2 linked regions of the Alligator mississippiensis genome follow. The protein of the gene in region 1 interacts with the protein of each later gene in a biochemical or structural test. Links are inferred from orthologs where the notes say so. Each region holds a gene or a part of one and is shown in the gene's direction. Other genes may lie near its edges.

Region 1 (7,772 bases):
GGTGGAATAATAAAACAAATCACAAACAACACACCATGTACTTAAAGTATGGGACTCAGATATTGAGGCAAAGAGTCTGGTAAGATTCAAAACAGGATTAGATATCTGTGGTATGGATACACATAACACTTAAGCTGGTTTAAATGAAGTTTAAACCTGAAGCAGACAAACATGCAAGCCTGTTAAACTGATTTAAAGCTTTGCCTCAAGACAGAAATTACACATGAACCAGTATAAGTGATCATAAACCAGTTCAAGTCTGTAACATGTTGTTCAAGTCTGTAACCAGTTCAAGTTGTGTAACATGACACAAATTCAGTGCACACAAACCACTTTCAAAATGACTGAAACCAGTTTAAGATAAACCTAGATGGATGTAGTATCAGACTTCACTGATTTAGGTTAAATTGGTTTATTGAATTTCTGTCCCAGATCTCCTCCCGATTCAAGTTAACTTGCAGTACCCTAGCATTGCAGGATGCTTTGCACCTCCCCCACAAGTCCTGGGAGGCATGCTCTAGCACCCACCTCCCCTTCAAGCTTTTGGCCTCAGCCACTGTAGGCGTGTGGCTGCATTTCCAAAATCAAAAGTGAATGTCTGTTTACTTGCTTATCCATTCAGTCTACACAGGTTAGACTAACCTAAGAAGATTGAATGGGTTCAGCTTCAGGCTTTTTGGCTATTTGTACTTAGCCAAACAGTTCAAAAGTATACCTATAAAATTAATGCAAAACTATAAAATGGTTCAGAGATTATGCTTTTTATTAGACCAAAAAAGAAATTGCAAAAAACCCGATCTTTTTCTGCAAGCTTTTGGGCTCACATGCCCTTCCTCAAGCTCAGGAAAAATTAAAGATGGTAAAAAGTCCCCATAGGTAGGAAATAAACTTCATTTTTGTACAGAGGAAGCTGAAGATGTAAGTCTGTTCCTCTGGATCCATGAGAGTGTCTTTGTGAGTTGCTCTTTGTTGTGCAGATCAGGCAGGATTCCTTTCCTGGTGGTGTCAGATGGCAGATAGGCAGAGAGGTGTAGAAATCTACAGGCGGGCAGGGGGTGCAGTGCAGCCCAGCTGTGGGATGCACATGGCATTGCGGGGCCCCAAAAGCAGTGTCAGCAGCAGCAGGGTACAGAGCCCAGTGGGCAGCAGCAGCCCCCCTCCACCTGGCTGCCTGGGCTCCAACCCTCCCACGACCTGCTTTGGCTGGGACCCCATTCACCCCAGCCCCTGCCCCTGTCCCTTCCTCACTCCCTGCCTCACCGGGGGGGGGGGGGCCTCAATCTGCCATCCCCATGCCCCTTCCCCTTCACAGAGCAGACTGATATTTGCCTGCTGTGCTGGGCAGTGATCCACACCCTGAGCTGTGATCCTGGCTGCGTGTACACCCCTCTCCACCCTTGGAAAAGAAAAAGCAGGAAAACGGAAACGCCTCCACCCACTCCTGGATGTTTTGGGAACCCCAAAGCACGGGTGCAAGCACCTGCTTCTCCTTACCTGTCCATCACAAGGAATGCTGGCCTGGGCACTCACTCCCAGCCCCTGGCGTCAGAACCACAGCACTTGACAAAATTGTGAACCAGCCCCCTTTGGAATGGTTTAATTGTTATGTGTGTCCACACCATGCCTCACAACAATTGTAAGCAGTTTCCCATCTGCAACATTTTGGAATAGTTCAATTGTTCCATATCCACAGATGGGCAATAAGTATATTGTTCACAGATACATTGGCTAGTATAAAGAAATCTATAAGAGATATAAAGCCACTGGACAAAAGTCAACCATTATCCTGATTAGAGTTAAGAAGCAACTTCTCCCATAGATGTATTATTGCATAACTGACCATTATTATTCAGCTAAACCATCGGTTAATGGCTACTGGAAGAGAAAAAATACATGGACCTTTTTTCTGAGGTGGTGTGAAAATATTTATATTCCTACCTATTTATAAGAATATTTATATTCTTATAAACAAGGACTTTTGATCAGTTGACCTGTGATGTTGTAGATCCACCCATCATGTTACCACATACCTACCCGTATATGAGTTCTTACCCAAGATACATACTGGAGGGTAAGACTAAACTCTTAAAACCTTATACTGCCCTCAAATTACATGTTAATAATCCACAGGTATCAATGAGAGGGGTGCAAGCAGATAAAGTACAGTACAGGGCCACTAAACTTTGAAAACACAAAATTAAAAGTTATTTTCACATTCTTGGTATATAAGTAGTATTCAGAGTCTGGAGAGACTCTTACAGTCCCCTGTAGTGAACATATAAAATGGGATTATCAAAGTCTACAGAGTGCTGAGTCAGACTTCCTCCACTGCGGGAAGATTACTTCATTGCAGGGTCTTTGAGGGCTGAAGTTGCATGTGGTAGCTGTGCCCTCACTGTGCAGAGGACTTTCGATCAGTTGACTTGTGACGTTGCAGATCCACCCATCATGTTACCATGCACCTACTCGTCTTCCAAAGCTGCCACAAATTTTTTCAGTGGCCTGGGATTCATGCTTATGTTTCTTGGCTGCACTGTGCTATTGCCTTCTGTGCCTTTTATACCAAGAGTGCAGTTTTTAGCCTTTGAGGAAGTTGTTCTGGAAAGAAAAAGATTGTGTTATCACCGTTCACTTGATTACTGATTACCAATTTTATAAATGTGTATGTGTAAGTATAATGTCATGAATGACATACATAAGAATGACATACATGAATGTCATATAAATACCATGTTTACTGCAAACTAATGTCTATAAGCTATATGTTATTGCTAAAGTAATTATTAACACATACATACATCAGGGTCATAAATCACACACACAGATCTTTTTTTTAATCTCAACATCCATGTCAGTTTAAAGAAATAGAGCCTTTTACAAAAAATTTGAATGAAAAAATAGCATTATAGAATTTAACCTAAAAAAAAAAAATTACACTTTTTGAGTTTAATGATGCTTGATTTCAGAAAGAAAGAAGCATGCTTATAAAAACAACCAGTAAGATGCAGTAACTGGTTTTAAATAGTATGACATACATTTTGGAGCAAATTAATACATTTTTTAAATTATGAAGTAAGAAGAATTATTTTCGCACTCTAAAAGGTGCTGTATTGATCAATACATTTTAACCTGCAAGGTCACAGCTAGTCTAATGACTTGTGGCAAGCACCATTTAATCCATACTTTCAGTAGCAGCAGTGATCTGTTAAAGCACAACATCATTTTCAATAGTTATGTCAACAGGTGCTGGAAAGAGCATCATGTGCATCAGATTGGTGGTGGGAGAGCTATGCATACATTTAACTGCCTAGCCCCTTTATAAACTAGTGTCCCTTCAAATTTTCTCAGCCATGGTTAATTTAAAATGGCGGTGGGAAAGGGAAGAATGTGGAAAACTTTTAAAGACTAATGAAACCTATGCCCCACATCTTTTTCACACATGTTCAGTCATATGGCATTGCTCTGGAGTGGCAATGTAATCCTACACAGTATAAACGCATGAAGTGTTGACCTGGGGAAGTAAATCACACACCTGGTAGCTTTTATCCCCCTACTGCAGGGATAAAACATATATCAATTTGTGTAAATGGTAGCATATCAGTAAGAGTAGTATCTTGCTGCTTTTCTTTTTTGCTCTGACGGATGTGAAAGGTCTTTGCTTGTCTTCTTGTGTATATTAAGCCCCGAAGATCTCACTGGCACGGCAAGTGACAACTGGTGCCCGGGAAACTTTTATCCCCAATGTTTTTAATTTCCATCTGAAGACATAGAGAGGATTGGTTTGTTTTTGTTGTGTTTTTTGGCCTTCCCTTTTCCCCTCCAGTGAATTGTTGCAATGCTACCAAACGATCTCGTCCAAGAAGAGAAGGGAGGGCTATAACAAAGTGCCATGTTACAAGCTGCACAGAGGCAGACAAAAGCAGATGTGGGGGGGGGGGGGGGGAGAAAAAGAAAAACAAAGAAAAAACACCCCCAACCCCAAAACATGAGGGATTAAAAAAATAAAATAAAAAATCCTGCCCTACAGGATAAATGTGGAAGACAATGTTCCTTGCGGCCATTTGGGGTGGGGGAGAAAAATACACTTGCTCCTCGCTGTGTCCTTGCTCTTGGGGGGGTGCACATCCCGGGCAGGGGGATGGGGGGTGATGTTCCCAAGGTTTGCATTTGCGGAGGGAGCCGTGAGGTGGGCTGGGGAGAGAGCGAGGGAGACGGGCCGCCATATTTCTGCCTTTACCACGCCCGGAGAGGCGAGCCATTGACAAGTCGGGCTGCTGGATACATATTGTGCCTCTGCCTTCCCCCTCCGCTTGTAGTAAGGGAGAGGCAGGGACAAGGGGCGACAGCTCCGTCCGCCGCGGGAAGTAAAGCCCATTGGCAAGAAGATCCCCCGGCCCAGCCCAGCCCGCCCTGGCGCTCTCCACCGCCGCGGGGCAGAGCGGGGCCGGCAGCCGCGGCTATTAGCCGGGGGCTGGGGCGGGAGACGGGGGAGGAGGAGGCGGAGTAGGAGGCAAGCGGCGCCGGGGGTGGGGGTTGCGCGGGCCGGCGAGGAGCCGCCCGGTGGCTCTTTCCTCGGTGCCTGGCAGGGAGCGGAGGAGGAGTTGGCTCCGGCAGAGGCGTGGGGGTAGGGGCCGGTGCCTGCGCCTGCAGCCGGGCGGTGCGGTGCAGGGCGGTGCGGGCCGGGCCGGGCGTGTCCCCCGCGGCGCGGCGCTGCGCTGCGCGGCGCGGCCGGGAGCTCCGGGGGGCGGCGGGGGTGGGCGCTGCGCCGGAGCCCAGCCGGGAAGAATGACTCTGGAGTCCATCATGGCGTGCTGCCTGAGCGAGGAAGCCAAGGAAGCCCGGCGGATCAACGACGAGATCGAGCGGCAGCTGCGGCGGGACAAGCGCGACGCGCGCCGGGAGCTCAAGCTGCTGCTGCTGGGTGAGTGTGGGGCGCCCCGGGGAGCCCGCCCGGCCTCGGCCACGGCCCCGGCCCCGGCCGCTCCCCGCCACGCGCGCTTGCACACGCAGCTGTGGACATGCGTGTGCACATACACGCCCATACGCGTGAGCAGTTGTGCACTCGTCTGCCAGTTACACACACACACGCAGCAGTGCACATGCATGTGCAGGAACACAGCACGGAGGTGGACACACTTGTGCAGAAACATGCATGTGCACCCATCTGCCAGAATGACATGCATACACACAGGCAGACATGTACACACATATGCCAATGCAGATATACACGGGCAGCTGTGTACACGCACCCATCTGCCAGTATTACACACATGCATACACACACCCATGGGCAGCTGTGTACACGCATGTGCACCCATCTGCCAGATCTTGCATGCACATGCATACCCCCCCACACACACACAGGCGGCTGTGTACATGCATGCACACCCATCTGCCACTGCTCTTGCATGCATGGTTGGCTCCAGCTGTGTCTGGCTGCAGGGCTGGAGAGGAAACTAGAGGGGAATCAGCTCCCTCACAGCCCTGTGGGTGGATGGAGGAGACCATTCCAGTTCCACGCTCCCTGCCTTCTTCTAATGGGCACTTGCCACCAGCGTTGTGATGCTGATCAGGGCAACTAGGCGGGTGGGGGTGGGGGTGGGGAAGAGACACAGGGTGGTATGTGTGCAGGGGGTGAAGGGTGGGTGTTGCATTGTCTCCCTCAGCACTGCGACTACAGATGTGGCTGAGGCAATAATCACCTCTGGTTTCAGTTGGTGGGGAGGCTAGCTGTGGCCTTCCAAAATGGAGAGAGGGGCTGAGGGGGTGGAAAGGGATAAGGGAAGAGACTGATGCTTGTTTGCCACAGGCATGAAGAAGCAATGGCAAGGCGGCAGCTAAGTGAAAGGGCTGGAGGGGGGAAGCTGCTTTGCAGATTGATGGTGACAGGCGTTAATGTCTGTACTGTTCTGGGAGCCCTGGCGAAGGGGGCTGCCTGGCTGCATGTTGGAGCTATGATTTTTATTTAACGAGGTAAACGGAGATACATGGGATAGGCTTAGTTTATGGTCTATATCTGTATCTCTTTATACACATATTTATACACACACACATATATATACAGTGTGTGTGTACACATACATACACGCAAAACCTGAGCTGCACCCTGAAACTGACTTGTAGCCTACAAGCATGTCTGAGACTGACAGGTTCTTTAATACCTTTGGAATCCACCCATCGGTTAGGAAATGTCATTTACAGCATACAGCGGCCTTTCTTTTTAATCTCGGCAGAAGCTAATGCCATTTCAAGTAATTCTTTCTTAGAAATGTGGCTTATGTGCTCAAATAAGCCTCTTGAGTGAAAAGAAAAGGCTCCATGTCCAGACTATTGTAATAACGCATAGCCACTGTGGTAAGGGAGCTTTGTGCCTTGGACTAACAGGCCCTGAAAAATGTCTGCACCACTGTCTGGTGTTTGTGTGTCTGAATGTGTGTTGGGGAGAGCAGGGGGTGTATTGTGAAATCACCTCTCACATTCACAAGACGGGGACTATCCATTTTATTCAAAACATTCTGTCTTGTACTATGCGTAAAGGTGGTAGTTGATGCTGGGGAGTAAATTGTCTTTCAAATGAGCTAAAGGTGAGTCAAAGTGCAAATTAATTGAAATGACTGTTTATGAATCCATTCTTTCCCCTGGTGTTATTTTAATAAGATGATATTATTAAATCATATTGGTCTTAGATTTAGATTAAGGTATTGGGGTTTTAATGGGTGTGGAGAAATAGCAGGAGGAGACAGAGGTTGACATTAACATTACAATTACTTTGGTTTTGGTAGTGTAAGAGTGGCATTGTATGCGTAATGGTCCAGACAATAATGTGAGTCAATAATGTATATAGTTGGTCCAATAAAAGATATCACCCTAAGAAATCCTTGCCTCCCCCTTTGGTTTTGGTTTAATTTTGCATTTTCAGGTTTGAAGTAGAGAATAACATAACCTGCATGTGCTTTAATGGATATTTACTAAAATGTTTTATACATTTTATTCAAGAAGAATTTGACTGGTGGTACAGTAGTTCTCAGTTGTTTCTGCATTTCCTAGGTTTTCCTTCAATAATGCTTGCGGGTTTCTCCCAAGGTTTTGGAGAAGTAAAAAATTTGTGGAAGGATATAACTGTGTTCTCTCAAAAGTAAGGACAATTGAAAAGTACAAAATATATAGTTTAAAAGATTTAAGCTCCATTCTACAGTCTATGATGGATGAATTTAACTTAATATACAAGTAGTCTCAGTGATTTGTAAGATTTGCCTGCTGGTAAAATTAAGTGCATGTGACTGATAGCATGATCTGGGCCAAATTTTGACACTGCTTAAGCCAAATTAAAGGGGTCAGATTTAAAACTAGAACCAATAAGGGGCTGTTATTTTTATAGATTGGAAGAAAATACAGAGTTTATCCGTATTAGGGATTCTTGCACTGTTGTTTCAATGCTAGCGTAGACCTTCTGTTTTAGTATGCTTCATTAGGGCAAACTGAGAAAATTGCAGTAGTGCAACTCTTTTTTATAAAGAGTGATGCATCTATATTGGGTGTCCGTGCCAGTGTAGCAAGATCAGTAGAGAAGTCCCTGATGCATAGATGCCTTAATTGTTTTTAAATAAAATTTTATTAAAAGGAAACTTGCATCTTTAAGTCATACACATGACTGAAAATGGGGGTGGTGAGGTGGGGTATGTGTATTGTTGGGCTTCATACCTGAAAATGGTATATGAATTGTTGGATTTAACACCTAGAGCTCTTAATCCTGAAAAAGTGCTCCATACAGG
Region 2 (7,819 bases), on another chromosome or scaffold:
GGCCCTGTGAGAGGGGGCGGTATGTATGACTCTCCCACTCCTTATTTCTACCATGCTACAAGGCCTTCACATCCCCCCCCCCCCCCACATTGTAGAATCATATAAAATGAGGGTTGGAAGGGACCTCAGGAGTCCAGCGGTTCTTAACTTTTTTTTGTACCCGGACCCATTTGAAAACATAGATGGCCAGTCCCCACACAGTGCCCCCCACTCCTGACCCATTACCCCCTGTCCCCAGTCCCCCAGCATGTGGAGCAGGGGGTGGATATGTGAGGTGGGGGAGGGGGGCAGCCCCTTGCAGGCTGGAATTCTGCCAGCCTGCAAGGGAAAAGCCATGTTTTGCCATGTTTGTCTCCTTTAAAGGAGAATCCATTTTTAAAGTTTGTTCACCACCCTTTCATATATTCTTGTGATGTCCATTTGGGTCATGACCCACGGGTTGAGAATCACTAAATCTAGTCCAAGCCCCTGCTCAAAGCAGGACTAGCCCCAACTAGATCACCCCACCCAAGCTTTGCCTATCTGGGTCTTTAAAACCTCCAGGGTTGGACATGCCACAGTCTTTCTGGGTAACCTATTCCAGTGTTTTACTACCCTCCCAATGAGAAAGTTCTTCCTAATATGTAAGGGTATAGCGTTGCTGCTGAGTTTTCTTAGATTTACTCAAAGAATCTTGTCTGCCTATGTCCTTAGACCAACATGACTACAGCCTATACCCCTGTAACATGGAAGATATCGAATTATGCCATTTTGAAATGGAAACTACACAACATGAAAAAGAAAGAAGTCAAACTCAACAGTGACTCTGGCTTCTTTACTATTCGTTCCATCCAGGAAGAGCATAGACCAACTGCAGATGCTTCCTCAGCCTGATGAAGGATATTTATACCCGCAAGCTTGCAAAGAAGAATTTTTCCAACTATTTGAGTAGGTCTAATAAAAGTTTTATCTTAATATCTAACCCCTCCAAAGGGGTCTAATAAAAGTTTTATCTTAATATCTAACCCCTCCAAAGTCCACCACCTCTCTGGGTAACCTGATCTAGTGTTTTACTACCCTCTAGGGTTGCCAACTCCATTTGAATCTATTTTGGGAGGTTTCTGCAATGCCACCATGCCCACGACACAACACAAATGTGCCTGCATGCTTACATATATCAGTTAGAGAGTAGAATGTGAAGACTTTACATCAGGAAGGCAAATGCACATGACTATTACCTTTAAAAACCCACTGGACTACTTAATCAGATTCAACATTTAATATTTATTTTCATGAATGCCCTATCGTTTATCTTCTGGGGGACTCTCTGCAGTCTCCTGGAGATTTATATCTAATTCCTGGAGATTCCAGGGCAATCCTGAAGGGCTGGCAACCCTACTACCCTCCTAAGGAGAAAGATTTCCTAATATCTAACCCCTCCCATGATGGAGAGTCCACAGTCTCTCTGGGTAACCTGCTCCAATACTTTCCTACCCTCCTAGGGAGAAAGATTTCCTAATATCCAGGGATCCTGATTTTCTCTGATTTAAAAAAAAAATCCCCTATTTTCGGTTAAAACTGCCCACCCCAAATCCACATTTTTCCATGATTAAATTGAAACATCACTATATATATAGTTGTTGATCCTTCACAAGTGAAGATGACTGCATCTGGCGGCTGGGGGGAGGGGCGGGGAGGAGAAGAGAGAAAGGAAGCCGGAAAGAAAAAGGGAGGGAGAAAAGAGAAAGGGAGAAAGAAGAGAGAGGAGGGGGGTGGAGGCTAGGTCAGATGGGTAAGCAGGCGATTTATAAGCCCAATCTTTGCCCTGAACAATCTGCTGCAGCAGATACAGGAGAGCGACGAGGACTGAGAGGTCCTTGTTTTCCTGGCCACACGATTCCTCACTGCCTCTGCCATGTACCGCTGCTTGAAGGCCAGTGCTCCACTCTGGACCAATGACCTCCAAGATGGACAGTCACGAGCAATTTGCTCCCATGACTGCGGGGCAATGCTGAAACTCTTTAGGGACATGTGACAGGGCACCTTTGGGTGCCTGCCACTCTAAAGGCAGAATCAGGCAGCTACCAGGTGCCTGATGATGGCAGCCATTTTGAGAACAAGGGATACTAAGGCTGCAGATTGCTGCTGCCAGCCCAGGCAGAAAATCACCTTGATGAGCTTTAGCAGGAACATCTGGAAGGTAAGAGCAAGAGGCTTGTGGTCCTGGGCATCACCTAAAACTGAACTCTGCTAGGGAAGGGTGGCCTGGTGGGGCTCTTAGTGGCGTGGAAGCCCCCAGGAAATGCCAGGCTAGTTACCTCCCCAGTGAAAGGCAAGGAGGGTCACCTTAACCTCAGCCCCCATCTGTGGGTGGGCTTTGGAAGCAGCTGTGGGAGTAGGGGGGCCAGGCACTGCAAGCAGAGTGCCACCTGAGCCCAGCAGGGATGTGAGATCCTGGAGACCCCAGAGGGGGTAAGTGTGGGGAAAGTAGTTGTGTGGCCCCACCCAGAAGAGAGCTGAAAGAGAGTAGGTCTGAAGGGCAGTCCCAGGGGTGTTCTGAGTTGGGCCAAACTGGGAGTAAATTTGAAGGGCAGCACAAGGGCCAGCCCCATGAATAGTTGATCATGAAGATGAGAAGCCCCAGGGTGGGGCGTGGTGTAGAGGCCCTAGACAGGGTGTAGTAGGAACCCCACATATAGGGAAGAGGCCAAGGCATGGTCGTGGATGTCTGAGGCTGTAGTTTGGACCGAATTGCCGAGTAGGGGGCTGAGCCAGAGAGTTAGGGGTGAGTCCTGACCCCGGTAAGTCCTCCGCTGCAAGGAGGCCGAGGGTGGGTTGAAAGAAAGACCTTAGTTTCATAGTAGCTAGGGTCAGGAGGGACCTGAACAGATCATCTAACCTGACCCCCTGCCACAGGCAGGAATGAATGCTGGGTTCACAAGACCCCAGACAGGTGATCATCCAACCTCCTCTTGAATTTGCCTAAGGTAGGGCTGAGGACCACTTCCCTGGGAAGTTGGTTCCAGATTTTGGCCACCCTAACTGTAAAATACTGCCTTCTGATCTCCAACCTAAACCTATTCTCCATCAGCTTATGACCATTGTTCCTCGTCACCCCAGGTGGTGCTGGGAAGAAAAGAGCTCTGCCTATTTGCTGTTGATCTCCCTTGATGAGCTTGTAGGCAGCCACCAGGTCCCCCCTCAGCCTCCTCTTGCTGAGGCTGAACAGGTTCAGGTCCTTCAGTCTCTCCTCATAGGGCCTGTCCTGCTGCCCTCTCACCAAGCGGGTGGCCCTCCTCTGAACCCTCTCCAGGCTGGCCACGTCCCTTTTGAAGTGTGGTGCCCAGTACTGGACACAGTACTCCAACTGCGGCCTGACCAAAGTCGCATAGAGGGGGAGTAGGCCTGCCTTAAGGGCAAGCACAATGACCTGCAGCTCCAGGGAGGGAGTGAGAGTCCCTGTGAGACCCTGGAGCACTAGTCATGGTGTAGGTTATGATTACATCATGTGGATGCCATCTGCGAGGCATGTGCTGTAGTGTAGGAAAGGTTTGGAGCCGCAGATAGCACCCCCTGGCATCAGGGCATGTAATGGGCAGTCTCCCACTTTTACCACCAGTTTATGGAAACAACAAAGTCGTGGCAGGCGAAACTGGGTGGACTGCCCCATAGAGACAGATGGGCGGGCTGGCATGAGACCTGGCCCTGAGAGTTGTTCCCTCTCACAGGCCTTGTACCACTTCTTTGGTGCGCCACTAATGTGTACTCCATTTGACTGTCGCAGAAAATTTTCTTTAGCAGGTGAATGTCGGGCATTCTTGAAAGATGGCCAGCCCAACAGATATTAGGTGGCTGATATCTATATATTAACGGTGTTTCATTTAAATCATGGGAAAATGTGGATTCATGGTTATTTTTTTTTAACTGAAGTTGGGGATTTTTTTAATTGGCGAAAACCAGGATCCCTACTAATATACCCCACCAAGGATGGTGTGTCTGGTCAACCTGCTCCACTGCTTTCCTACCCTCCTAGGGAGAAAAAATATTCTAATATCTAACCCCTCCAAGGATGGCGAGTCCACCACCTCCCTCGGTAACCGACTCCAGTGTTTTACCATCCTCTCAGTGAGAAGGATCTTCCTAATACCTAACCCCTCCAAGGATGGAGAGCCCACAGCCTCCCTGGGTAACCGGCTTCAGTGCTTCCGGCCCCCCCAGGGAGAAAAAGTATCCAAATAGCTAACCCATCCAAGGAGGGAGAGCCCACCACCTCTCTGGGTAACCCGCTCCACTGCTTTCCTACCCTCCTAGGGAGAAAAAATATCCCAATACCTAACCCCGGCCAGGATGGAGAGTCCACGGTCTCTCTGGGTAACCCGCTCCACTGCTTTCCTACCTTCCCAGGGAGAAAAGATATCCTAATATCTAACCCCTCCAAGGAGGGAGAGCCCACCGCTTCTCTGGGTAACCCACTCCGGTGCTTTCCTACCCTCCTAGGGAGAAAGATGCCCTAATAGCTAACCCCTCGGAGGATGCAGAGCCCACCGCCTCTGTGGGTAACCTGCTGCAGTGCTTTCCTAACCTCCCAGGGGGAAAAACGTTCCTCCTACCTAAGCCCTCGCAGGATGGAGAGCCCGCAGCCGCTCCGGGGAACCCGCTCCAGTGCTTTCCTGTGAGCCAGTCCCGACGCGACCCCCCCCGGCCGCGGCTGCCCGTCATGGCCGGCAGGTGGCGCTGCCCCGCCGTGACCCGGCGCTGGGAAAGTTGGGGGCCGGGGCGGGCTGGGAGGAGGCGGCGGCAGCGGCGGGGCGCGCGGCTCGCCCGCGTGCGGATGTGTATATAGGCGGATGCGGCGCTGCATGGCTCGCCGCGCTGCAGCCCTGTGAGCTACTGCTGCTGCTGGCACCGCATCCCTGCAGCGGCGGCGGCGGCGGCGGCTCCGCCTCGCCCCGCGCCATCGGCTCTCGCCGCCGGGGAGCGCGGCTCCATGTGCCGCAGATGGCTGGGGCGCAGCCCGGGGTCCATGCGCTGCAGCTGCAGCCCGTGCGCGTCTCCGACGGCCTCAAGAAGGGCACCAAATTCGTCAAGTGGGACGATGTGAGTCACCACCCCCCGCCTCGGGCCCTGGGCTCCCCCCGGGGACGTGGGGAAGGGGAGGGCGCAGCCGCGGGGCTGCTGCGGACACATGTTGGGAGCTGGCGGCCCGCCACATGTTGCCAGGTGCTGGCGGGGTGTGCCCGCCGGGAGGGGGCCGGGGCTTGGGCGTGCTGCCAGGGTGGGGGAGCCCTTCCTCCTCTAAGTGCCCCTGGGGGTGGGAGAGGGAGCGGGGAGGGTGGCTTTGGTGGGGGAGCAGGGTGAGGCAAGGTGTCTCCTTGCCCTGCGTGACCGGCCCTGGTTGTTCAGGCTCCGGACACAGCAACTTTCTCTGCAGCCTGAAAACTTTTCTGAACTCCCTTTGTCTTGCCTGTTCCCGTTCCCCTGGTCTGGCTGGGATCTCGCCCCTGCTCTAACTGCTTGGTTTCATCCCACCTCTTCTCTCTTACCTTTCACTCCACCCGCCCTTCCAGTCCTTTCCTCTTCCCTTCCCCATCCCCTGTTCTCTCCCGCCGTCCTGCCTGCTCAGCTTTTCTTCTGTCTTCTCTCCACCTGCCACACAGCCCACAAACACCGTCTCCTACCTAAACCCAGCACTCGCTCAGTGCAGCTCCCTGCCTTTGCAAATGGGCTACCACTTCGTGGCCCCCTTGCCAAGAAATCGTATGCTTCCTGACCAAAACCATCTATCTCGCAGGGTGTTTTCATCTCTGACTTCTCCAAATCTCTTGCGTGCACTTGTTGCTGCTACACCTGTATGTTCCTGTCTTCAGTATGGTCATTCACACAGGCAGCCTCCTTTCCTCCCTGAAACACCTGCTGCTTCTGCTTCTTTTCAGTTCAGTGCTGCTTCATTATGGAGATGTGTAGTAGCTTGATGGTGGTCCCAGTAGCTGGGACTTCTTTCATCCCTCACAGACTGTGCCGGGGACCTTTTCAGAAGAAGGCAGCATTCTTCTGTCATCTTCTTTTGGGCTACCACAGTTAAGGGAGCAATGGAGAAGCAAAGCAGAGGGACAGCTTTCCTGTTAACCTGTTCCCATAGAAATTGCTCCTCAAGTAAAGCATCAGGAGTCTGTCTTTCCACACACAGATACCTCTAAAAGGGCAGGGGTGGGCAGTGAAGTGTATTTGGAGGAATTGCTGGGGTGGAGAAGTATAGGTATTGGGCAGCTTGGCACACTACGCAGCTGGAATAGGAGAACCGGTAAAGAGAACTTGTTTCTAAGAGCTACTTTTCCACTAGTGTAGCTGTCAAACAGTGTTGCTGTAAAGTTTACACTCCTGGAGACAAGCACAGTAACAGCTAGAGGGCTAGCTGAGAGAGAGTGCTGTCCATGTGTGTGACAGCCCTTCCAGTTCAGTTGCCTAGTACAAAGTTATCATTTCTCTCAACATGTCAAGGAACCAAATGTGCGATCCCGACCTTTATAAACCTGTGACACACACTTATAGTGAGATGCGACACCAAAATTTGGGAAGAAATCTTGAAGCAACGTGGGACGTATTTACTAAACAGTTCCCATCTAGTTAGGTTCATGCCTGTACCTCTAATTTACAGTAATGAACAGTGAGATAACATCAGGTTTGCTGGAGGTAGCTTTGAGTCTAGAATGAATGAGTTAATTGATAGTTGGATAGAGCTGACCGATGTAGGCTCTTCTTGCTGATTAGATTTGCCAGACTATAGATCGCGACATTCTTAGCTTTGGTATTGTAATTATGTTTGCATGCTATTTTGCCAACAAGTACATAAACAATACATACGTTGAGAGCCTGTTAATGGCAACTTGTACTTTCCAGGTAAAGAATCCAAGCCATTGGGCAAAATACATAATCCGTGTCTAATATTTTTGCCCCCTCAGATATGTAACTGTGACAGGAATGTGGCTCTTTGCAATATGCTTCTGATATTGCTGCTTTGAAAGTTAGGACTGAATTCTTTCCTGTTATGAAAAGCTGGTGGAGTTATGCTTGCAGATACTTCCCTGCTTAATTCTTAGGTTGAAAGCTGTTACTAAAGCGTTAGGCTGTATTTGTGGGTCATTAGAGAAGAAAAGGTGCACTGTATGAAAATGGATTCGTCCTGTAAAATGTGTTTACTTTGCTTATTATATAGACTGAAAGAAAACACAATATTAAGCATTATTGTTCTGGTAAGACAATATGTCCAAAATCTGGGAAAGGACGTAAATTTTAAATTAAGGTATGCCCTGTAATATCTGGCTCTTATCCTGTGACCTTATGCAAAAGAGTAGATCCCCATGCCCAGTCCCCTGAATCTCAGTAGGGTTTTGTGGGAGCAAAAGGGGCGTGTTTATATAGGATTGGGGCTATATTATGTAAAATCATCGGCTGTTTGACAGCAGACATGGGCATAACATAGTGAAATAAAGAGTTGTTAGCCTTAACTCTTATACTTGAATTAACAGCAGCATATTTAGCATGTTTCCCCACAACACGTACTTCCAGCAGTGGAATTGCCACAGGAATGAAACATTGTGATGGAAGTGAACATATTTTGGCACTCTAGTATGGGAAATTTCATCTGTAAAAATGATCAGTGACATTGTAAAGTATGTACTATTGACCCATCAACACCCAATTTGGAGTTTTTGTTAATTATCCTGTGAATCTGTATTAAGGGACTTGTAAAAATTGGGATTCTTGCCCGAGCCTTTGTGGTCCATTGAGGGAATAAGAATACTTCAAGGAAACAATAGGACATGATGATGACAAATATGTT

What was found. The genes of interacting proteins can lie anywhere in the genome.
Region 2: the proteins of guanine nucleotide-binding protein G(q) subunit alpha (region 1) and PLCB1 form a complex in vitro, tested with the Homo sapiens proteins (2 studies listed by BioGRID, with this or other methods). The link is inferred for Alligator mississippiensis from reciprocal best matches to the Homo sapiens genes GNAQ and PLCB1.

The regions. Positions count from the first base shown.
Region 1 is NC_081826.1:199,600,274-199,608,045, reverse strand, and holds the start of guanine nucleotide-binding protein G(q) subunit alpha, read left to right. Parts: upstream 1-4,768; 5' UTR 4,769-4,785; coding exon 4,786-4,921; intron 4,922-7,772.
Region 2 is NC_081824.1:224,900,964-224,908,782, reverse strand, and holds the start of PLCB1 (1-phosphatidylinositol 4,5-bisphosphate phosphodiesterase beta-1), read left to right. Parts: upstream 1-4,812; 5' UTR 4,813-4,977; coding exon 4,978-5,076; intron 5,077-7,819.